Linked DNA regions of Alligator mississippiensis. The protein of the gene in region 3 purifies or fractionates together with the protein of the main gene of each other region. This does not show direct contact. Links are inferred from orthologs where the notes say so. Each region holds a gene or a part of one and is shown on either strand. Other genes may lie near its edges.

Region 1 (7,159 bases), on a different chromosome or scaffold from region 3:
GTTGGCAAACTCACAGGGGGCTCCATAGTGTCAGTGTAGACATGGCGCTGCCTTGGCACAAGTGTGATGTGCTGTCAGTTCTAGAGCTCCCTTAGTATGAGTGTGACATGTTGGGAGTCATGAGGCTGTTTTGGTGTGAGCACAGAAATGAGATGGGTGTGGCGTGACAGTGACGTGTAGAATTCCATGCACTGCTTTGGCATGAGTGTGGACATGAGACAACTGTAGCACAGGCATGAAATATTAGGAGTCACAGGGCCACCTTGGTGTAAGCAATGCTGTATCTAGGCTCCTGGTGGCCCTAGGCAAACTTTGAGTATCAGGTCCCCCTTTGCCAGAGATAATGATAATAATAATCAGACTTGTTGCAAAGGTCTTTATCACGTCTGTGGTATCGATGTCTTTAAATAGTTTGTTCTCAGTTGATAATATTGCCAATCCTGTATATGTGCATTAAAACTTTTTTTGCAATTGTAATTTTGTTTTAATTTTCAGGCCTCCTTTCTATCCGGGCCCTAGGTGGCCACCCGGTTCACCCATGCATGTGTCCAGGTCTGGATGTAAGCATGGATATGAGATGACTTCAAAGTGAGCATGATGTTTTGGGGTCCCAGTGCCACGGTGTGAGTGTGGTGTGTTGGGGGTCCTGGTATGAGCGGGGGGGAGGGAGGGCTGTGGCATGAGTGTGACATGGAGATCACAAGACTGCTTTGACATGATGTATTGAGGCTCCTGAGGCTCTCTTGGCATAAGCATAGACTGAAGCCCGTGGTGTGAGCGTGATGTGTTGGGGGTTCTGGGCCACCTTGGTGTGAGTATGAGTGTGGTGTGTTGTGGGTAGCCCCATGAACATGGACACAGGAGGGTGGTGGCATGACTGTGACATGTTAGGGCTCACAAGGCCAGCTTGGTTTGTGTGACATGTTGGGGGTCCCAGCATGAGTGTGGATCCAGGAGGGCTGTGGCATGAGCATAACACAGGAGTCCCAGGGCCACCTTGGCATGAGTGTGGACATATGACAGCCTTGGTGTGAGCATGGCATGTTGGGATCCTGTGGCTGCTTTGGTGTGAGCATGAACATGAGATGACCTTGGCATGAATGTGGGCATGAGCATAGTGTGTTCAGATCCTGGGGCTGCCTTGGTGTGAGCATGGACATGAGACAGCCTTCATAGATTTCATAGACATTAGGGCTGGAACGGACCTTGGAAGATCATCAAGTCCAACCCCCTGCCCCAGGGGCAGGAAGTCAGCTGGGGTCATAGGATCCCAGCAAGATAAGCATCCAAATTTCTCTTGAAGGTGTTCAATGTAGGTGCTTGAACTACCTCTGGCGGCAGTCTATTCCAGACCTTGGGGGCTTGGACAGTAAAGAAGTTCTTCCATATGTCCAGCCTGAAACGGTTATGGAGGAGTTTGTGATCATTTGACCTTGTCATCCTTTGGGGTGCTCTGGTGAACAGACTTTCCCCCAAATCCTGGTAAGCACCCCTGATGAACATATAGGTGGCCACCAGATCACCCCTGAGCCTGTGCTTTTCCAGGCTGAAGCCTCAGCCTGTCGTCGTAAGGTCTGTTTTCCTGACCTCTGATCATGCGCGTGGCTCTTCTCTGGACTCTCTCAAGCTTCTCCCCATCCTTTTTGAATTGTGGAGCGCAAAGCTGGATGCAGTACTCCAGCTGCGGCCTCACCAAGGTTGAGTATAATGGAAGAATGACGTCCTGGGATTTGCTTGAGAAGCATCTATGGGTGCAAGGCAGCATTTTGCTCACTTTACTAGCCACAGCATTGCACTGAAGGCTCATGTTCACCTTGTGGACAATCATGTCCCCCAAGTCCCTTTCATCCGTAGTGCTAGTCAGTGTAGCACTGCTGAGCCTATAAGCATGCTGCGGGTTTTTCCTCCCAAGGTGGAGAACCTTGCATTTTTCAGTGTTAAACATCATCAGGTTCTTGTCCGCCCATTTCATGAGCCTATCAAGGTCAGCCTGGATCGCCCTCCTGTCCTCAGGTGCGGGTGCTGTACCCCAGAGTTTGGTACCATCGGCGAACTTGGCCAGTCCACTTCTGACTCCAATGTCCACATCATTAATGAAGATGTTGAACAAAATAGCCCAGCACCTGACATTAACAGACTGGCTATGATGCTTGCCAGCTCCTTGAGTACCCTGAGATGTAGATTGTCAGGGCCAGCTGACTTGAAGGTGTCCAGCCTCTCAAGGTGTTCCTTCACAAGGTCAGCATTGATGGAGGGCAGGGAATCTCCCCCCACCTGGGCCTCCCTGTCCGGCTGTCAGTTAGGGTGGGCTCCCTCCGGAAAAAGGGGTTGGGGCGGGTGGAACATGTGTGGAGGCTGATTGGGTCTCACTGCCCATGCTGAATGGGCTGGCCTCCTGCCCATCACTGTAGGAGGGAGCGTGGGGGGAGCCCAAGGAGGGGTGGGGCGAAGCATGGTGCAGCTTGGGGCAGAGGGGTTTAAAAATCAATCACAGTTTGCAACAGTCCCAGCCGCCGCCCCGCCCAATACATCATACTCATGTTCACACCAAGGCTGTCTTGTGTGTGAGGGAATCTCCCTCACCTGAGTCTCCCTGTCCCGTAATGGGCAAGGGCGTCCCGTGGGACTGATGAAAGACCGATGCAAAGTACCCATTTAATAGGTTGGCTTTTTCCTGGGCATCAGTTGTCAGTTGTCCCATCTGGTTTAGCTGGGGTCTGATGTTGCCCATGGTTTTCCTCTGGCTCCCCACATATCTGAAAAAGGACTTTTTATTGTCCTTGATACTTGTAGCTAGCTGGAGTTTCGTCACAGCCTTGGCTTCCCTGGTTTGCTACCTGCAGGACCGGACCAGTGCAGAGTATTCCTCCTTGGAGGTGGATCCTGTCCTCCATCCTTTGTAGGCCTTTTTTTTTAGCCAGAGGAGGTCTGCTAGTTCCCTGGAGAGCCAAGGGGGCTGCTGTGCCCTTTTGTTGCCTTTCCTCTGAGACAGAGCCTTAGCTTGTGCATTGAGGACCATTCCCTTGAAGAACAGCCACTCTTCCTGAACTCCCCTCCCCTTGGGGTCGTGGTCCCTTAGGGCCTCACTGACAAGCCTCCTGAGCTTGTCAAAGTCAGCTTTCCTAAAGTCAGGGACTTCTGTATTGCTGACTGACTTGCCAGTTTTATGGCGGATGGTGAAGGTGATCAGCCTTGGTGTGACTGTCAGCATGAGCATGGTGTGTTGGGGTTCGAGCTGGCGTGAGCGTGGACACGAGGCAGCTTTGGTGAGCGTGGCATGTTGGGGTCCTAGGGCTGCCTTGGCATGGGTGTGGACACAAGATGGCATTGGTGTGAATGTGAGCATGGTGTTTTGGGATCCCAGAGCCACCTTGGTGTGAGTGTGGGCATAAGATAGCCTTGATGTGAACATGTGTGGCATGTTGGGGTCCCAGAGCTGCTTTGGCATGAGCGTGGACACAAGACAGACTTGGTGTAAGCATGAGTGTGTGTGGTGTGTTCGGGTCCCGGGGCCACTTTAGCAGGAGTGTGGACATGGGATAACCTTGGTGTGAGCATCAGCATAGTGAGTTGGGTTCCTGAAGCTGCCTTGGTGTGAGCATAGTGTGCTGGGGTCCCAGAGCTCCCTTGACATAAGCGTGGTGACAGCTTTGGTGTGAACATGAGTATGACGTATTGGGCGGGGCAGCGGTTGGGACCGTTGCAAACTGCCGTTGAATTTCAAACCCCTCCGCCCCGCGCCGCGCCATGCCGCGCCCCACCCCTCCTTGGGCTCCCCCCACGCTCCCTCCTACAGTGACTGGCAGGAGGCCGGCCCATTCAGCGGCAGCAGCGAGACCCAATCAGCCGCCGCGCGCGCTCCATCCACCCCACCCACTTTTTCCGGAGGGGGCCCGCCCTAACTGACAGCGCTTCCCGCCAATTCCAACTGCCGCGCGGGGGAGCGCGGGGGGGGGACCCGCCCCGCGGCCCGCCCGCGGGAGCCAATGGATGTGCGGTGGCTGCGTGACGGGCAGTGCCCACGGCCAATCAGAGTGCGGCAAAGGAGGGGATCGGGGAGGGGGTGGGGCCTGCCTGCTCCGGGCTTCCTCTCCGGCTCGGTTTGGCCCCCCCCACCCCGGCTTGGCCCCCCCCCTCCCCCCCTCCCCTCCCCCCCCGCGGGTTTCTTCGCTGCGAAGAAAATGGCGGCGGCGCCGAGCGGCGACGAGGAGCGGCTGTGAGTGCCCCGCGCGCGGCCGGACCCCCGTCCCTCCCCCCTTCTGTGTCGGGGGGGCGGGGGGCGGCGACGACGCGCGAGGCGGTGGGGAGGGGAGGGATGGGGAGGGGAGGGGGGCGTGAGAGGGGGGCGTGCGTGAGTCCCCCCCGTTTGCGCGACCGTGGTGCGTCACAGCGGCCCCGGGAGGGGGGAGGGGCCGCCCGGGGGGGGGCGGGGCCGGGCGAGGTCACAGGTCGCGAACTCCCCCCCCCCCCCCGACATGGGTCACACTAAGGCCCGGGGTGTATGTCATGCCAAGGTTCTGGGCGTAGGACCCATCAAGTGCCGTCACACTCAAACCCCAGGCATGGGTCATGCCAGGCCCTGGTCACACCAGGCCCCTGGGCACTGGTCATGCTAAGTTCCAAGTGTTGGTCGCACTCCCCCGCCCCCCCCTGCCAGTCATGCCGAGCCTCTGGTCACACCAAGACCCTTGGTGCAGGATACACCAAGCCTATGTCATGCAAAGTCTCCAGGTATGCGTCACATCAAGCCCCTGGTCATGCCCAGCTCCCAGTCGTGGGTTGCACCAAGCCCTTGGCCATGGGTCACACCAGACCTTTGGCCATGCCAAGCCCCTAGGTGCTAGTCACACTAAGCTCCTGTGTGCTGGGCACATGAAGCTCCTGGACACGGGGTGCACCAAACCCCTGTGTGCGCCATGTGGGTCACGTCAAGCCCTGGTAACACCAACCTCCCTGCACCACCTCAGCCCAGTCACGCCAAGCCTAGGCGCACCAGCCCTTTGGCATTGCCTGGGTCCAGTCACGTCAATCCCCCCTGTGCCACTCTGGCCCCATCATGCTAACTCCAGTGTCCCAGCCCTGTCACGCGATCCCCACTGCACTGTCCCATCCCCCTCATTCCAGTCCTATGGTGTTTTGTCTGGGCTCACTCGCACCTAGTGCTTTGTACTGTCCACACCCTCTTCATTGGCACACCTGCCCTCCCAGTACTGCACGTGTGCTCCTACTAAGTCTTGCCGCAGCATCCACCCTGCCTTGAGCCATATCAGCAAGGTTGCACATGGGCCACGCCCATGCCAGCACCCGCGTCCAATGCATCCCATGCCCACGCTGCCCAGAACCCTCCGTTTCCATGCATGCTGTCCAGTCTTATCAGGCGTTGCCCCGGCCAGCATCACCCTTCCCAGTCAGCGTCTTCCCAGCCCTCACATGGTTGCTGCCCTCCACATGTGACACCCCCAGTAACCTTAGTGGCTACATGGCTGGGCCAAGCAGTGCAGGCTTATGCCACCTGGCCTGGTCCATGCCTGCTGGACCCGCCTCATGCCAGTTCCCGGCTCTGAGCCTGCCAGGGCCGTGCAACATGCTACTGTCATGCCCGCTTTTGTGACACACATGGACTTTTGCGCCCACCTGTCCAGGGGGTCTCCCAGCTCTGGCCTGTCAACATGACTCATGTGGTTATGGGTTTTCCTGCCTGCTCCTCTGAGAGTGTGAGAACTTATCCACTGCGGGTAGGGCTGGAGTGGGTCTGTTGCACACGGGTTAGCTGGGCAAGGCACTTTGCCTGCCACAGATATTGCCACCCTGAGCTAGGACAGATGGACATGCAAGGAGGAACTATCCTGTCCGTCCTAGTGTAGAAGCTGTAGCCTGGGCAGCTCCACACTCCCAGGCAGACTGACTCCAACAGGGGAAGCTGGGAGCCTGTGGTCCTGATACCAGTGTCAGGCTTGGCATGAAGGCACCACAGGGCTGGGTGGGCAGCTGGACATAGCTCTGAGCAGGCCCTGCTGGCGGCAGGGTGGGGTCGTGCCAGTTGCCCATTCCCAATGCATAGCCAGGATGTGGTCACAGTCCGAGCTTCCCATGCCAGGCAGCCTAGGGGCCAGAGCATGTCCTCTGTGTCCTTGCCGGCAACAGTGAGGGGTGCCAAGTATGCTTGCTTCAAGCCAGGCATGGGCTGGGGGCTTCTTTCTCTTGCTTGCAGGCACCAGGAAGGCAGTGTTGCCTCTCAGTGGGACCTGGGCTGCTGGCACAGCAGGGGGCACCACATAGGGCAGAGGGCACAGCAAGGGGCACTAGTGGTGGTCAAGAAGCCTGGTGCCACTCAAGCCAGGGGTTCTGGTTCCCACAGTCCTTCAGCCCATGGCCTAGAGCATCTGTTACTTCCCGTGTTCAGACTTACAGAGCCTGGCTGTCCACACATGTTTGACCCGCTATGACTGGTGTCTGGAGGCCTGTCCACAGGGGCAGGAGCCCGGCCCTTACCCAGCTAGGCATGGAGCACAGGGAGGGGCTAGAGCTGCAGCAGATGGAAACAGACTGAGGCCCGCTGCTTTCACACCCACCCAATTCCTGTCTCCCTGGCTCAGTGCTGTGGGGCAGCCCTGGCTCAGTGGGTTGGGCCAGTGCCTGGGTTCAGGCATTTGTTACCAGGCTTCTTGGCAGAGAGAGTGGGACTGGGACTGGGGCCCTCACATGGGCGCAGTGCTTTCCATAGCCCCATCATGCCGGGCACAGCACAGCCTGCAGCCCTGTCATGCCAGACATAGCCATGTTGATAGCCCCTTCATGCCAGGCACAGCACAGCCTGCAGCCTAGCCAACACCAGCTCTATAGCACCGGGCACAGCACTGCCCATGGCCCCTGGGTGAAACCAGCCCTGTAGTGATGGGCACAACACTGCCCACAGCCTGGCCAAGGACCAGCCCTGCCAGTGTTCAATACAGTGCCACTGGCAGCCCCATCATGCCAGGCTCAGCACAGCCTGCAGTCCAGCTGAGACCAGCCCTGTCATGACAGGCACAGCACCATACACTGCCCCAGCCAGGACCAGCCCCATCACACCAGGCACAGTGCAGCCTGCAGCCCGGCTGAGACTAGCCCTGTCACACCAGGCACAGCAGCACCCGCAGCTCCTTGCTGAGACCAGCCC
Region 2 (8,017 bases), on a different chromosome or scaffold from region 3:
AGGCAGGCAGCAGGATGGTGCTGGGGAAGGCAGGCGGCCCTGGAAGGGGTGACCGTGGTGATGGAGACTGGTCAGGCCCTGGGGTGCAGGTGCTGGCAGTGGAGGGAGGCCTGGGGCTAGGGGAGCTGTTGGCTCTGGGCTCGAGGGGAGGCTGGCAGGGCCGGGGGAGGGGGTGATGGAGGCCCAGCGATGCCCCCCGGGTTGTTGAGGGCTCTCTATCACTGGGGTGATCTAGGCCTACACTCTGCTGCAGCTGTGGGGATCAAATTTAGGCTCGCTGCCTCAGATCACCATTTTAAGGCGCATTAAGGGTGCCATTAATGCACCTTAAATTGGGCTAATGCACATTAAATGCGCACGTGTAGCTGTGTCTGATTTTGGCTGCTAAGCCAGAAGCAAATGCCAATGGGGCAGAGGCTGGATAAGGGTTACGGCTGGACTCCGCCCCTGCCGCATGCAGAGAAGCGGCAATGTTATAGCACAGTGCCTTTATTCCAGGGAAGAAAACCAGCTTTCCTGCTTAAGATGCACTCTCTAATTTTAGAGGGGGCAAAGGTTTATGGGATGTGAATACATGCAGTATATTCCTTGATCAAAAGTCAAGTGTGGTTGTGGGGGACCATCCTTCAAGTCTCCCCGCCCTGGTGCCTGGGTACACGTAACACTCTGTTCCCTTTCCCCACCCAGGTGGCTCGACCTATGAGGAGCCGGCCAGCCCACCCCCACGGCTGAGCGAGCGCACGGTGCGGCTGCGGGGGAAGCGCAAGCGGGCCGTGGACGACATGTTCGCGGAGATGTGCCGCCGCAGTGAGGAGCACAAGGCCATCCAGCGTGCCCGCCTGGAGCAGGAGGAGCGGCTCATGGAGCGCTTCCTGGAGCATGAGAAGACCCAGCGGGAGCAGGACCGGCAGCTCCTGGAGCGCCTGGTCAGTGCCATCCTCAGCCGGTCCCAGCCGGCCTGCTCCTGCCAGCGTCTGGGCATGGAGTGAGGCCGGCCCCTCTCCAGGATCTTCTCCGGGGCGACAGACAGTCCCAACCGTTGGGGTGCTGGCTGTACTGCCCAGGGCCCCGTGGACAGCTGCGTCCCAGGCCTGGCTTGCAGAGGGGTTTGTCGTTGTGTTATGCAGGGGTTGGTGTTGGGCTTTGTTTCTGTAGCGTGGGGTTATGGCATTGTGTAGCACAAGGCAATTGCAGGTGAAACACTAATGTGTGCAGAGCAGCTGGAGAGGCCTCATAAGAGTACTGTACTTTCTGGTATGCCACATCACTTCCCCCCCAGAAAACAGCTCCTGGGAATGTTGGTGCGCCTTATATGTGAGAAATACGGCAAGGAAAGAGCTTTTTTTCCCCCTTCAGTCTGCCTTTCAGATCAAGGGGCGCATTATATCCCAGGGTGTGTTGTATGTGAGAAAGTACAGTATCTTTTCCAGCAGTCCCCAGCCTGCCTGCCTCTTCTGTCCTGTTTCTTAACCTGGGTGTCTTAGTTTCCTTAATAAATTTAGAGGGTTTATTCTCTCCCCCCCCCCCTTTTTCTGGTGTACTGGGTATTGTTGGAGTGTTTGCAAAAGAATAAATATTCCCTCTGATACGAAACATGTTGGGAAAGCAGGATTGGGTCCCTTGGAAACCATGAAACCGAGAGCACCGCAGGCCGCAGCCTAGGCTAGTGCAGGGGCCAGGAGGTCTGGTGCAATACAAAGGTCTCTTGGCACTAAAGCCAGCTGGGTGCCAGGTTCCCCTTGCTGGGACAATAACTATTTGGGGATGGTCCTGCTTTAAGCAGGGGGTTGGACTAGATGTGACGTGAGGTCCCTTCAAACCCTAATTTTCTATGATTCTACGACGCTAGGTGGGTCATCATCTGATGCTGTGAGATTTGACCCCATTCTCCAGAGCCCGTGCCAGCTTTGGCTGTCATTTTATTACTGGCTGTACAGGGTGGGAATGAAAGCCACAGCTCATACACTCTGGGGGTCGATGATTGTCCTAACGACAGAGACGTGGGTTATTGTAGAGAAGTGGGGCAGGAAGGGACCCTCGGAGATCACAGCTAGTCCAACCCAGGAATGATGCTGGATAATCAATGGTTCTGTAACTCGCAGTTTAGAGCCGCGGTGCCAGGTGACACCTCTGTCCTGCTTCCAAATTTCTGGTGGGGGTGGAGGTGATGGTGCATGAAGGGAAGATTTTGGGTAGGGGCTGGAAAACCCCGTGGGGAGTGGGGGAGATGGGGGCAGAGCAGCAGGAGGCTGCTGGTGGTCAATGAGGTTAACAAGGCAACTCGGCCTGGGCTAGCTGAACCCTGTCTCTGAGGGGCATTTGCCCACCACCACAGCCCAGCACAGCAGAGGCAGGGGCTTCAGCGGGTCGCTCAGGCTGGGGTGCAGCTGGTGAAATGTGCCCAGTGTCTGGGGTGGGGTTGGGTGCAGCTGGACAAGGGCAGGGGGCACATCCAGGGATAATGTCCCTGGGATAAGTCCCTGGTAGGCTGTGTAGCTCAGTGGTAGAGCACCTGCTTTGCATGCATGAAGCCCTAGGTTGCATCTCCAGCTCCTTTTTTTCCCCCAGCACCTCCTGGTCGAATGTGAGCCCAGGGAGGAGATGCACCCCTGGGACAACAGATGCGGGTGCCCAGCAGATGCCTCCTCCCCTCAGCCTTGAGACCCAGCAGATCTCAGTGCTCAGGGAGGGAGTTTCATGGGGTCCACAGTGCTATGGGGTGGAGGTGGCTATGGGCCTGGGGAATATAGCTCAGTAGCAGAGCACCTGCTTTCCATGTAAGAAGTGCTGAGTTCAATCTCCACCTCCTTTTTTATATTTCCTACCTGGGCAGGTGGTGGTTTTGCAGGCATCGCAGCTCCCTCTGCTCCAAACTCTCCCTGAGTGTTTTAGAGCTGGACGGGTGGCCTCTTTGGTGAGCGTCGGCTACCCCTGGGGGATCAGGTAGTCTTTTTGAGCCTTTGCTTTCACCCTACAAGGAGGAAGAAAAATCAGCCCAGCTATATCCAAAAGGCAGACTGAGTGCCCACTGCTGCCTGGGCTCTCTCAGCCCATCCCAGGCCTGAGCAGGGGCAAAAGCAGCTGGAGATGCTGGGGATTGAATCCAGGACCTCCTACATGCGAAGCAGGTGCTCTACTACTGAGCTACATCCCCCAGCACATATAAAGTCTGTGTCTGGTCCCACTTCAAGGCACTTTCCCCTTGGAAATCCTGCCCCCACCCCCCCGGTATTGAGATCTACTGGGTCCCAAGCTTGCGGGTTCCCATGCCCGGCTTAGAGGGGCCGGGGCCTGGTGAGTTCAGCTGCGGAGCTGCCCTGGAGCCTGGCTGCTGAGGGGACCAGCAGGGGGGAAGCCCCAGCTGAGGGTCCTGGATCCTGGCCTGAAACCTCAGCATGAGACTGCCCCTGGGGCAAAGCAGCAGGAGGTCAGAGGTCAACTCTGAGGCTGTTCAGGTCACACGTGTCTCTAACCCCTTTCCCCTGCAATGAGCTCTGCCTGGGGCTGGCAGAGGCAGGAGACCCTGGGGACACATCTGGAAGCCTCTGCTCCAGGTCCCTGGAGCTGCAATGGGGTGCAGCAGGTCCTTGCACCCCCTAAAGTCTCCCAGGGAAGAGCAGGTAGCTATATCTACTGTGTGTGGCAGAGAAGCAGGGGAAAAAACAAACAGCTCAGAGGTGACAGCACTGGTCTAATAAACCAGGGGTGCGAGTTCAAATCTCACTGGAGCTTTGCTAGAGCCAGAACAAAGCAAGGGCGGCTGTTTCGTAGCGGCGCTGCAGGAGTGGGGAGGAAAAGCCCTTGTCTTCTAGCTGCAGCAAGGGGATTTTTCTTCTTGGGGGAGGGAAGTGGGCCCAGGTGTCCGAGATGGCTCCCACACTGTGCTGCGGGAGGAAAGGAGGACGGAGCGCAGCATCATGGGGTACAGGAGGTGCTGCTGTGCATCTTCGTGGGGCCGCAGGGCCGGGGTTGGAGCCCGGGACCCCCACACTGCTGGCAGGGGGACTCATGCCAGTCGCGCCAAGGTGGTGGCTGCCATCTTGGGGGTTCAGCCCAAGGACAGATGCTGCCTTCACCCAGTCACACCAAGGTGGGGGTGGGCACCTCGGGGTTCAGGCTGACAGCAGTCATCGCCTTCACCCAGTCACGCCAAGGCAGTGGCAGCCGTCTTAGGGCTCAGGTCTGCAGCAGGCGTCGCCGTCACCCGGTTGCACCAAGGCAGTGGTGACCGTCTCGGGGCTCAGGTGCACCCCCACCCCGGCATGCCATGGCAGTGGCCATCTTGGCCACTCATGCTTTGGTGACGGCAGCCATCCTGGGGCTCCCTCCCAAGGACAGACGCTGCCCTCAGCCTGACACGCCAAGGCAGTAGCGAGGCCATCTTGGGGCCCAGCCACAGGCCAGGCTCACACCGCCACGGCAGCCATTTTGAGCAGTTGCCTCAGGGCAAGGCAGGGAAGGCACTAAGGCAGGGCTGGCCACCCTGGTGGACATTTGAGGGGCTCCCAGCTCACTGACTGCAGTGGGGGAAGGGGGCATGGCCACTAAGAGGGACGGGGCCGGGCAAACGGTAGGCTGCCAAGCAAACAAAGAGCCCTGCCGCCATTTTGATATCCCACCACCCGCCCACTTTCCTCTACTGCGCATGCGCCATGGGCAACTTGTTGCCCTATGACGCATGCGCCCCACCCCGCTCGGTTTTCTCTTTAATGCGCATGCGCCACCAGGCACTGTTGTCCCTATGCCTCAGCGCCACCATCCATTCATTTATCCTGCTAGCTAGCTATCCCTTCCTCTTTACTGCGCATGCGCCAACCGGGCATGATTTTTTTTTTTTCCCCTCGTGCGCATGCGCCCAAACCTCACGCCGGGGGGAGGGGTCACTCTATGCTGATCAGCACACCCTCCTCCCCCCCATATTCATCTAGGCGCATGCGGATTCCCTCCTGCCTGTGCAACACGCGTGCGCGGCCCCTCCCCTTCCTGAAGCGCAGGCGTGGTGCTAGCCCCGCCCCCTACCCCACGGGGGCTCCTGATTGGTTGCGGGGTGGGGTGAGCGCTAAAAACAAACGGCTCCGGCAGGGAAGCGGCTGGGTGAGGGCGGTGTTGCAGCCGGTGGGGGCTGCAGAGCTGGGCCCGGGCCCGGGGGGCAGCTGGGGGGAGGGTGGAGTTGGGCCTGGCGGGCACCGGGGGCTTAAGGGGAGGGGCTGGGTGCGGGGGGGCCTGGGGGAGCGCCGCGTGGGTTTGGTTGAATCAATCCGCTTTAAATCGCTGGTCGGGAAGCCTTGGGTTAATCGCTGTTTTCTGCCAAAGGCGCTTCCTCGGTGCGTGACGCGGATTAACCGCGTTGTTGCCGACTCGGGGAGAGGGGACCTTGTAAAGCAACGATTTATTCTGATTTTTTTCAGGTTAATAGCAGAAAACTGAAATAAAATTGGGTTATTTTACTGACTGGAGCTGATGGTTGCGTAGTGGTTGGGAGGTGAGCTATGTCTGATTCACTCAATTCATCCTGGATATTTGGGAGTTATTTTTGCCACGCTGTTTGGAGGACACCCATGGAGCTGGGTGGAGGCCCTGTGTTATCAGCTTGGGGATTTCTTCATGTCTAGATTTTTTTTTCTCTTCTCTCTTTTTTGGCCTGGCAAGCCTGCTGCCACGATGGGCTTTCCCTTCTGCCATCCCACTGTCCCCACGGACCTGGGGATTTGGGTAGGGGCTGGAGGTGGGGCTGGGTTTGGGGGGCTAGGGTCTAGGGATGGTGGGGGGCTTCAAGCTTGGGGTTTGGGGTGGATGGATTTGGGGGTGGTGCTGGGGGCTGCTGAGGAAGGGGCTGCAGCTGGAGGCTTGGGAAGGCTGAACTTCATGGTTAAGAATAGGAAAGTGGGGCTGGGAGGTGGGCTGGTGGAGCGCTGGGTTAAGGGCATCTTGGTGCTGCAGCTGGGGGCTCGGGTGGAGGATGGCTGGGTTTGGGGTGATGCAGTTGGAGGATGGGGGGCTGAGCTTGCAGTGGGGTGGGCCTTGTGGCAGCGGAGGAGGGGAGCTGTAGCTGGAGATCTGAGATTTGGGAAGGATGGCATTGAGTGGGGCATGGGTGGTGGAAAGCTGCGGGGCTGGACCTAAGGGAGCTGAAAACGGGGACTTTGGGGAGGGTAGATTTGGGCTTGGGGACTTTGGCAGGATGGGGGTAGTTGGGAAGGGGAGCTGCAGCTGGGGCCTTGGGGAGGCAGACATTGAAGGCTGGGGGGCTGGGGCTGGTGCTTTCAATGGTGGGGCCCAGGGACTTTGCAGGGGCTGGGTGCTAGGTTGGCAGAGAGGGGCCTGGAGTAGGGACTAGGAGCTGGAGGAGGCAGTTTTGTGGGGCATGCAGGGTGTGGAGGGAACTTTGAAGGGAAATAAATTGGTGTTGGAGGTAGGAAGGGAGCTGGGTGAGGGTGAAGCATGTGTTTTGTTGCTTCTGATCCCTGTTCCCTCTTCTTTCTGCAGTGCCATGCAGTCCCAGCCTCGGCCCAGCATGAAGGAGCATCGCCAGCCCGACACCCCTGTCCCAGTCCGTGTCTGTGTCCGTCTGCGCCCCTGCAGCAAAGACTCGGAACCCTGCATTCGTGGCCTGGACTCGCGCTCCCTCGAGCTTGTCAACTGGCGCAATGCTAAGGAGACTTTCAAGTACCAGTGCGTGTGGGGGAAAGGGGGGAGGAATGGGGGGTTTTGGCAGCCCGCAGTGGTGATCACCCTGCTGTTCCCCCCAGGTTCGATACCTTCTACGGGGACACAGCCACCCAGCAAGATGTCTACTGCAGCTCTGTGCAGCCCATCCTGCACCACTTGTTGCAGGGGCAGAACGCCAGTGTGCTGGCCTATGGGCCCACCGGGGCGGGTGAGCATGTGGTGAGGGAGAGAGGTGTCTGGGTTTGTCCTGGGTTGGGATTTGTCACAAGGCCCATCTGCCTCAGCTTCCTTACGTGCTCCGGTGCGCTTTGCTGAGCTTGAGGCTGGGGAGGGGGGTGGTGAATTTTCTGACTGGTCTTCAGTCCACCAGCACACAGGTCTCTTTCTTTCCTGTGTTGTGGGTGGTGGTGGGGGCTCAGTGCTGCCTCTCTGGCCCCCCTAGGGAAGACGCACACCATGTTGGGCAGCCCCCAGCAGCCTGGTGTGATCCCTCGGGCTGTGCGTGACATCCTGCACATGGTGCGGGAGGCTGGCTGTTGGCCTGACGGGCACAACTGCTCCTACTCTGTCTCCATGTCCTACCTGGAAGTCTACCAGGAAAAGGTATGTGGTGGGGAACAGGCTGCGGGCTCCCAGGCTTTGAGGGGAGAAGGATCATGGGTGCTGGGGAGGGTATAGGGGCGAGACACTCGGGCTGGAGTCCAAGCAAAGGAAGCCACAGCCCCCTTGGGGTACCTGCAAAGTCTGCAAAAGAGCCGAGGCTTGTTCCAGCTCATTCCCCATCTGTCCAGGGACCTGTTTTGTCCCAGGTTTCAATCCAAACCACCTCAAATCCCAGCAAACAGATCTATGTCCCTGTTTCCCCGTAACAAGCTGCCCCCTCTGAGTGAGCTTGAACAGCAAACACCCCAGAAAGCTGGGCTAGGAGGAGCAACAGGCCATCCTGGAGGGTTTGGAGACCTCGAGCGGTCCCCAAACACTTTCCATTCAGTGCTTCCTCCGGCAGCTCTCTGGGCAGCGGATGAAACGGTTGCGAGACAGAGGAAGTGGCTTAAAATTCCTGTGCCACAGTGTGGGGAGCAGGCCCTAGTGATTTGGCGCACAGGAGAGGGCCATGGTGCTCAGGGGGGGCTAGCCTGGACTTGGTGATTCAGGAAAGGGTCCATGCCTCAAAATGATGCTTTCCTAGAGGCCTTGGGTTTTTACATTCCCCACCAGCTGCCTAGGGTCCTTGCTGGCACTGTGGGACCCCCATGACCCCCCTAAGCCTGGTGGAGAGACTCCTCCACTCGTTCTCCCTCTTCTTGCCCCCACTGCCATCCCCTGGTGTATGGTTCCCCTCAGTGCC
Region 3 (7,821 bases):
GCAGTGTGTTAAGAATCAAGAGGCAAATTAGTGCCTTTTAACATGTCTAAGAGTTGCTTACTAAGAAGCTAGAACATATAGAAGACCTCAGGAAATAAATTACATTTTTGCCTCCAAATGAAGACCAACCTTTCAGGCTCTGATCCTTTGGTGCAGCCAAGGAGCAGGCAGATTGGTAGGGAATGTAAGGGATGGCTTTTATATTCTTTTGGTGTTTGGGAGCCAGTAAAGGTGATCGAGCTGGTATTTTCTGAGGTTAGATTCTGCTGTGCTAAATTCTGGGAAAGATCTCTTGCTTATCTTGGCCCTTCAACAGAAGTAATATAGACAGAGAAGAAGACTGTGATAGGTGCATGAGTGCAGCTGCAAGCAAGAAAAGATTTGGTTGGTAGGTATCAGAGTGGTGAGCTAGGCGTGTTCAAAAGCCATAGCTTGAAAAGTGCTAAAGCAGAAAGACTGTCATCTGGTAGCGTGTTAATATCATAATTTAACAATACAGGCTAGAATGTGTTGGCAACTCCTGGCATGTGTGCTGAGCGTGGCGCACGAGGCCATTTTGCTTGGCACGCTGTGGCCAGCCCTGGCCAGCAACGGAACTTGGGCTGCTCCCAGCTGGGCTTGCAGCATCCCAGCTGCCTGTTGGCTGCAGCCGGGAGGTTCCAAACAGCAGTGCCGGGCTCTGGCATCAGCTCCTCACTGGCGTGTGCAGGCGCACCTCTGAGCGGGCGGTGGGCGAGGGGCCTGAGACGCCGTATGCCCGGTCTCTCCCCTGCTCCCAGCATGGAGGTGAAGAGATGCGCTGGGCTCATCATAGCCAGCCCGGGCTCTGGGCAGCTGCAGTGGGCAGAGTGCAAACAGCTGCGCTGGGCTGCACAGCTCTGGCATTGGCTCCGTGCTGGCGGCGACTGCACGGGCACCTCGGGGCAGTCAGCAGGGCACCCCACCCCCAAGATGGCAACCCCGGGGGGGGGGGGGCGGCTATCCTAGCAGCCCTCAACAGTTCACCAGAACTTGGTAATTGGCCCTCAAGCTGAAATAATTGTCCACCCCTGGGCTAGAAGGTCACAGTAGTGGCAGTATTGTTCAGTGTCTAGGGCATTCCATGCAAAACTCTGTAAATGTATAGGCTGTCTAAACAGATATCACGCACTAATTTGATTCGTAACTGTTGAGCCTGTTCTGTTAATAAACTTATAAATGATTAGTTGTAATTTCAGTATTTTAACTGTTTGTGATGATCTGCACCAGTCACACGTGGATGAAAAACATATATATATATATATAGCTCAGTGATCAGTCACTTTCTTATCTTTGTTTCTCAAATCAAATTGGTTTCAGCTGTTGTTTCTATATATTTATTTACTAATCATTTTGTCTTGTAAAATTATAGTCTCAGATGCTCTGAATTTACAGACTTGCCACTTGCTCGTTTTATTTCCCATAGGTGTTAGGCAGTTGTGATTTCCCCCCCTCCCCCCCCCCCCCCCCCCCGCTATTTGAATGGCATGAAAAAGAAAACGTTTTTATTTCATAGTGCCACTGAGCTTAGTTATACAAGGAGATGGCTTATTTCAATTATATGTGCCCATTTACAAAATTCTAAATGTTTTTGTGACTTGGCCTCTTAAATTGGGCATTGCTTAAAAAAAACCACTGAGGAATGCCGTGTGTACAAGTTAGATTTTATACTACTAGATTTTCAGTTACTTTATTAGCTTAAGTATAAATCCTGACATTGATTTTAATATTTCGTTTAAAGCTTTCTAAACGTGTGTCTTATTTGCTGTTCCTGTGACTGGTACTTTTTATTGAAGGACTTTATGTACTAATGGATTGTGTCTCTTGTCCAGCTGTCCTGGGTGCTGCAGCTGTGTTACATAGGGTCCTATGTTGTGGCCTTTGGTATGTTAGGAAGCTGTTACAGTTTTTAAATTCTGCTTGTGGTGATCTGTGTCCTTTACTCTGTTTTTGTTTCTTGTCCCCAAGCATAAAATAGCTTTTTGTTGTTCTTCCAGCTTTTATTAAAATTACTTTTCCATTCTCCTGCCCCAACTAAAACATTTAATTCAAACATGGCTTGTTCAGTAGAGTAAAACAAATGTTCGAAATGCATCAGGTATGATCTTGCTCGTTTTATTATGAGCCTTGTGTTAGGGATATAAATACTGTTTTTAAAATATTTGTTTAACCTTCTCTAATTATGTGGGTTAAATGATTAAGCTACAACATGGCAACTGCTGAGAGCGACTCCTAGAGCTTTTGACTGGGGGAAGGGGTGGAGGAGGCAAGCCCAGCCAGACAACACAGTCTAGGTGAAGCCTGTAAAGGAGCAATTATGCGTTTAATTGATGAGTAATTAGCAGGGATCCTGGTTTTCTCTGATTTTAAATAAAATTGCAAATTCTCTGATAACCCCAAAATCCATGATTAAAATAAAAAGCCACTATGCCTGCCTGCCTGTAAGTTGAACACAATGTTTTATTGATATATTTACAATTTTAAAGCAATTTGGAAGCACACCAGTGCCTCGATCACTATAATACATTCTAAATACTTGTAAATCTTGGTATTTAGTTGTGTGATTTTATCATGGAAGATCAGAGCTAATCTCTGCCCCCTTCATTCACAGAATGCAGGTCCAGGCCCCTTAGCCCTTTTACCCCCCACTAGTGGGGGCCCCCAGCTGCCAGGGTTACAAGGCCAGGGACCTGGGTCTGAGCCCTTGGCCCTCCGCAGCAGCACCTGAGCCCTGGCTGCTGCCCACGGGAGGTGGTGGCTGCTGTTGCAGAGTAGCAGAACCTGGCACCCAGCATGGCAGGGCAGAGTGGGGCTGCCCAACTCCCTTCCTTCCTGTGGCAGCCTCAAACCCCCACCCCTGCCTGACTTACCTGTGAGAGCTGCTCTCCAGGCTCCCTGGCAGCCATGTGCGTATACGTGTCTCTGGCCTGACTGCGCTTCTCCCGTTCCCCCCAGCCCCTTGCAGGCTGGAACTCTGCCATCCTGCAGATTGCTCATTGCAAAACTGCAAAATCTACATGTTTCTCTGTTAAAATGATCAGTCTGTATTTTCTTGGGTGAAGGGGGAAATTCACTTTTTTCTGTTTTTCCATGGTAAATGGAAAACCTGGATCCCAGGTCCTTAGGCTGCTAGCTGTTTTCCTCTTAAGCTATGGGTACTATAGTCCCCCTTGTCTCTCCCACATCCCTTTCCCCACCACCTGGTTCTTCCTTCCCCGCCCTCCCTTCTCCTGTCCTGGTGCCTTCTGAGTCCTGCTGGGGCACCCACCCCAAGTTGAAGGATAATCCTAAACTAACCCATTATCACTGCACATACCAGTTAAAGGATTAATCGTTTAACCTTTCACATCCCTACCTTGTGTTGAGCTGGAAGGATTTTTGTTTCTAGAGGACAAAGGAGGGGGCACTTAGTTGCATGTTGGCAGTTAGAGGAACATTCCCTATTAAATTCTTTGAATGAGAAGGAGATCAGTGATATCTCTTTTCCCTCCTTCCGCTGCCCCTTCCCTTATCTCGCACTTCACTCTGTCAAAGGAAGCTTGTTCTATAACAGTTGAAAGTAGCACTTTCCATATTGTGTGTCTTATTTAAGCCTTCCAGGAAAAATTAGGTTTTAGTTAAATGAATATTCCTCTTCAGGAATACAGATTAAAATTTTAATTTTGTCAAATTCAAATTTCAAGTCCTAATCTTCAAGCTTCTTCCTGGTTACATTGCTAGTTTGCAGAAGTCTTTCTTTTAGCAGTTCCTTCCCTTTGAGCTTTCTTTTAATACTGTTTCTTGAAATTGTCAGCTTACTCTACACAAGTCTACCACCGTTTCTTCATTCAAACCTCTTATTAAAATCGTGTTTTCTTTAATTTTCTCATTCTAATTTAATATTAAAACAAGATTCTTTTAACATTAAAATCTCATTACAGAAAAAAAATTGCTCTGCTGTCTTACAGATGGAATGTGTAGTGATTGCTTTCTGAACTTGAAATCAAGTCAGGCATCAGAGTTGAGTATTTTTAGCATCCGTAGCGGCTTCAAATTTGTTTCATTAACTTGTATAACTTTATAGTCATATTATTCTATTTAAGTACATTTCTGCTGTATGAAAGATGCGCAAATTACTATCAAAATTACAAAGCTGGCTTCTTACATAATTCCTGTACCATAACTGCTACAACAACACTCCAGTCGTAACACAGCACTTAAGACATATTTCATATAAATGAAATATGCTTTTATTTTGTTGCTTATCAGATTTCTTCTGTCTAAACTTTGTGCAGTAATTTAACCATGGTTATTAATATATCTGTCATTCTAATAGCAATACTAAGCTACAGCAGAACTGACTGAGAAGCCTGCCACAGTAGGTAGCTTTATATTGAATGATGGAACTTGTACAAGTGCTTCTGTGTACAAAAGCATGCATTTAGACCAGGGCATCTGGAGGATGCTTCAGCTGAGTGTATTTCATTCAGGAGAGAACATTTCTAGCTGTATCTAATTAATAGAATTAAATTATGAATTGGGTTTGTTTGTAGAAAATCTTTTTTTCATAATGACTTTATCGGTGCTTAAGCATTAAGGTTATAGAGTGAAGCACTCAAATAAGAAAAAGTGTTAAAGTTGCATGCACAAACTGCATGGATTCTGGCATCTCAGTTACATTGCTTTATTGGGACTCTTCGGCTTGGAGAAGTGAAGACTCAGGGGTGACTTGGTGGCAGCCTGTAAGTATATAAGGGATGTGCATCAGGAACTGGGAGAACATCTATTCACCTGTGCTCCCTAAGGGAAGATAAGATCTATCAGTCACAAACTTCTAGAAGACCGTTTTAGACTGGACATAAGGAAAAACTTCTTTACAGTCCTAGTCTCTAGAGTCTGGAATAGACTTCTCCCAGAAATGGTGCAAACACCTACTCTGGATACCTTTTAAGAAATGCTTGGATGGGGTGATCTGACCCCAGCTGACTTCCTGCCCCCTGGACAGGGGGCTGGACCCAATGATCTCACAAAGTCCCTTTCAGCCCTAATGTCTATGAAATCTATGAAACTGAATGCAGATTGGAAACTAGTGGGGAAAGCTGTATACTTGTTGCTTTGAATTTGGATTGAATACTATTTTCACAATCTAGATGAGGAATAGATTCTTTAAGATGATAGTTTGATATTCTGGAGTTTGATTTGGTGTGTGCAAAGGATTATGTGACAGTTGTCTAAGATGGCAGGATCACACTGACCTAGAAGATCTCTTTTCATTTTGACTTCTTCTGATGTGAAGTGGCAACTGAAGAAATTTTAAGTGTTTTGCACAGTTTGTGCAGTGAGTCAAGCGAAGTTTCATAGAAAAGATTAAATATTACCTTACTGCCTCATTCACTGTGAGGTAGTGTGCAATAAATTAAAGTATTTGTGAATTTTATTGTATGATAACAGGCTACATGGTAATCCATACACATGGGGGAAGGACTAAAAATGAAATCTTAAGGTTGAGAGTCACAAAAAACTAAGCATACCAGTTATTAATTCAAGTGAGTTTAAGAGCAATTATCAGATGCTCTACTTATGGTTCATGCAAGGAAGTTAAACTTCATTGGTGCATCTACCCATGCAGTTAATGCAAAGCAGTAAACTGTGAAACAACTCAAGCTGGACTAAACTGTTCCCAGGTGCAGTATCTATATGTGTACCCGGGATGGTGATTTGAGCCAGGGCAGCAGAGTAGGCCCCCAGCTGGCCGGGCTGACCAGATATAGTTTACTTCTGCGATCAGCCTCTATACGTCCATTTCAGCGTGGTAAATGACTCTGCTGTAAGATAGTACTGTCCCCAACAGTATTATCTTATGGCAGAATTTTAGTTTACTGCGCCCTAATATCAACTTGCATGTAGACAGTGATGCTTTACTGTGGAGCTAATTAGTCAGCTCTGCAGTAAAGCATATATTTAGATGTGTCCTATATGTTTTGGATGCAAGTAGAGTAACTTTACTTCCATTGCATTAGTCTTCTACTGCAATAGTTTGTTCAGTTTTAAGGGCAAGATCCACAAGAGGCCTTCAGGTTGGTGATACTGAGCCATGAGTCAGTCCTGGGCACCAGGGCAAAATTAGTAGCCTGTTGATTCAGTTATACACCTTTCAAAATGCCTGGGGGGGAATTAGATGCCTTTAGAATGGGTTTCAATAACCAGTATTGTTAAGCTGCCCAAGGGCTCCAGTAGCAGTCAGGGACTCAAGATTTTAAGATTGACCTCACTTACCCCCTTTCTTTTAGAAACAAAACAAGGCTCCTGTTTTTCTTTCAGAATATGACTAGAAGAGATGGTGGCAATGTCACTGTTTTTTCTAGGATAGCCTTGTGGTTAGAGCATGCAAGTGGGATATAGGTGGCCTGGGTTTAATTTCTTATTCCTCAGGGGATTCAGCGCATTCCCCGCCAAGCCCCATCTTCCTCCACCCCAGGTGAGTGACCTGATCTGCAGACTAAGCTGTTCTGTGAAAGTGGTGGAGCTTTGCAGATCATTAGATTAATTGGGCCAGAGTGCAAGTGTGATTGGTCTGGCAAATAATGCAGTTGAAAGCATATCTGCAAAATGACTGCTCTTCACTAGTTTGTAATAACATTTGGAATAGGTTTTTGGGGTTTTTTTTGTTTTTGTTTTTTTGCCATGTTATGTGATATAAAACAACTTGCTTGTCCCATGGTCCTGTGTTAAGTATGTTATTGATTTATTTCCTCCCCATTTGATTTTTTTTTTCCCCCCTTTATTTTACATTGTAGATATCTGTTAGCATGTTCTTAAATAGTACAATAAAGAGTTAATTATTTGAAGTGTTTAGTTACCCAAATGCAGGACATGTTGCCAATTTGTGTCATGAGTGTTATAAATGAGAGCAGGGACAACAAAATAATTGTTAAATATTATTAACAATTAAAGGGAGGCCAGCGTGGGCAGGTTAACCTTTTTAATGGTTTAAAATTTTTTTTCTCAACCTTCAAATAAGAAAAGGACCTGTACATGTATACATGTTCATTTAATAAGCATTTCATTAACCAAAATTGGTTTTTATTAAAGGAATTAGTTCCTAGTTAACTGACTCTATTATATATTTATTGCTATTTTTATATAAAAAAATCTAATTTTGATGGCCTCAGTTGAAAGAAAAATGGTTTAATTAAAGTCTTAAATGTAGGGAAAATCATAATGGTCACTAGGTCCAGATTTGGAATGTTATTTAATTGTTCTGTTTTCAACTTTTCAGACTATGAGAAGACAACGAAATGAAGTTGTCGTGGAGTTAAGAAAGGTGAGATCAGTTAACATTGCTTCTTTCAAAAACAACTTGATGTCTCAGAATTTTGAGTTACCAGTATCTGTATGATCACAGTGCATATTCTTTTGTAGACCTTTGTGAAAGATGCTATCAATCTTTTGTTTTATAAAATTTGTCCAGACATTTGGACAGCCTTTTAGTGGGAGGGAAGCTTTTGAAAGGCAGATCTTACTAAGTCAGAATCTAAGAACTCCACCTAAGTTGTCTTCCTGTAAACTAATTGAAGAAGTTTTATTTCAACTAGTTACACAAACTTCTGTGATCCAAATAATTGTCTCATTGATGATCAGCCCATATATTATTCTTTTATTTGTTGCTTGGCTCAAATAGTTTAATGAACAGGTACCAGTTGCCCCATCCAGTTATCTGATGTCTAAGAAATCCGTCAGCATGTGTGGTGTTGAAAAACTACTCTCTATATTAGGGATGTCAAACAGCCCATGGGCTGCCTTCTGACCCTAAGGGCTGCTCAC

The links.
Region 1: the proteins of KPNA4 (region 3) and MECP2 purify together in Homo sapiens (affinity purification with mass spectrometry; 3 studies listed by BioGRID and IntAct, counting the BioPlex papers as one, with this or other methods). This does not show direct contact. The link is inferred for Alligator mississippiensis from reciprocal best matches to the Homo sapiens genes KPNA4 and MECP2.
Region 2: the proteins of KPNA4 (region 3) and KIF22 purify together in Homo sapiens (affinity purification with mass spectrometry; 3 studies listed by BioGRID and IntAct, counting the BioPlex papers as one, with this or other methods). This does not show direct contact. The link is inferred for Alligator mississippiensis from reciprocal best matches to the Homo sapiens genes KPNA4 and KIF22.

What each region holds. Positions count from the first base shown.
Region 1 is NC_081831.1:28,770,771-28,777,929, forward strand, and holds the start of MECP2 (methyl-CpG-binding protein 2), read left to right. Parts: upstream 1-4,070; 5' UTR 4,071-4,181; coding exon 4,182-4,216; intron 4,217-7,159. UniProt on the Homo sapiens protein: Chromosomal protein that binds to methylated DNA. It can bind specifically to a single methyl-CpG pair. It is not influenced by sequences flanking the methyl-CpGs.
Region 2 is NC_081838.1:25,093,423-25,101,439, forward strand, and holds the start of KIF22 (kinesin-like protein KIF22), read left to right. Parts: upstream 1-4,971; 5' UTR 4,972-5,052; exon of another isoform or gene 5,053-5,115; intron 5,116-5,223; exon of another isoform or gene 5,224-5,324; intron 5,325-5,408; 5' UTR 5,409-5,482; intron 5,483-6,486; 5' UTR 6,487-6,490; coding exon 6,491-6,672; intron 6,673-6,749; coding exon 6,750-6,877; intron 6,878-7,111; coding exon 7,112-7,272; intron 7,273-8,017. UniProt on the Homo sapiens protein: Kinesin family member that is involved in spindle formation and the movements of chromosomes during mitosis and meiosis. Binds to microtubules and to DNA. Plays a role in congression of laterally attached chromosomes in NDC80-depleted cells.
Region 3 is NC_081830.1:68,628,679-68,636,499, reverse strand, and holds the start of KPNA4 (importin subunit alpha-3), read left to right. Parts: upstream 1-4,593; 5' UTR 4,594-6,382; coding exon 6,383-6,475; intron 6,476-7,276; coding exon 7,277-7,321; intron 7,322-7,821. UniProt on the Homo sapiens protein: Functions in nuclear protein import as an adapter protein for nuclear receptor KPNB1. Binds specifically and directly to substrates containing either a simple or bipartite NLS motif.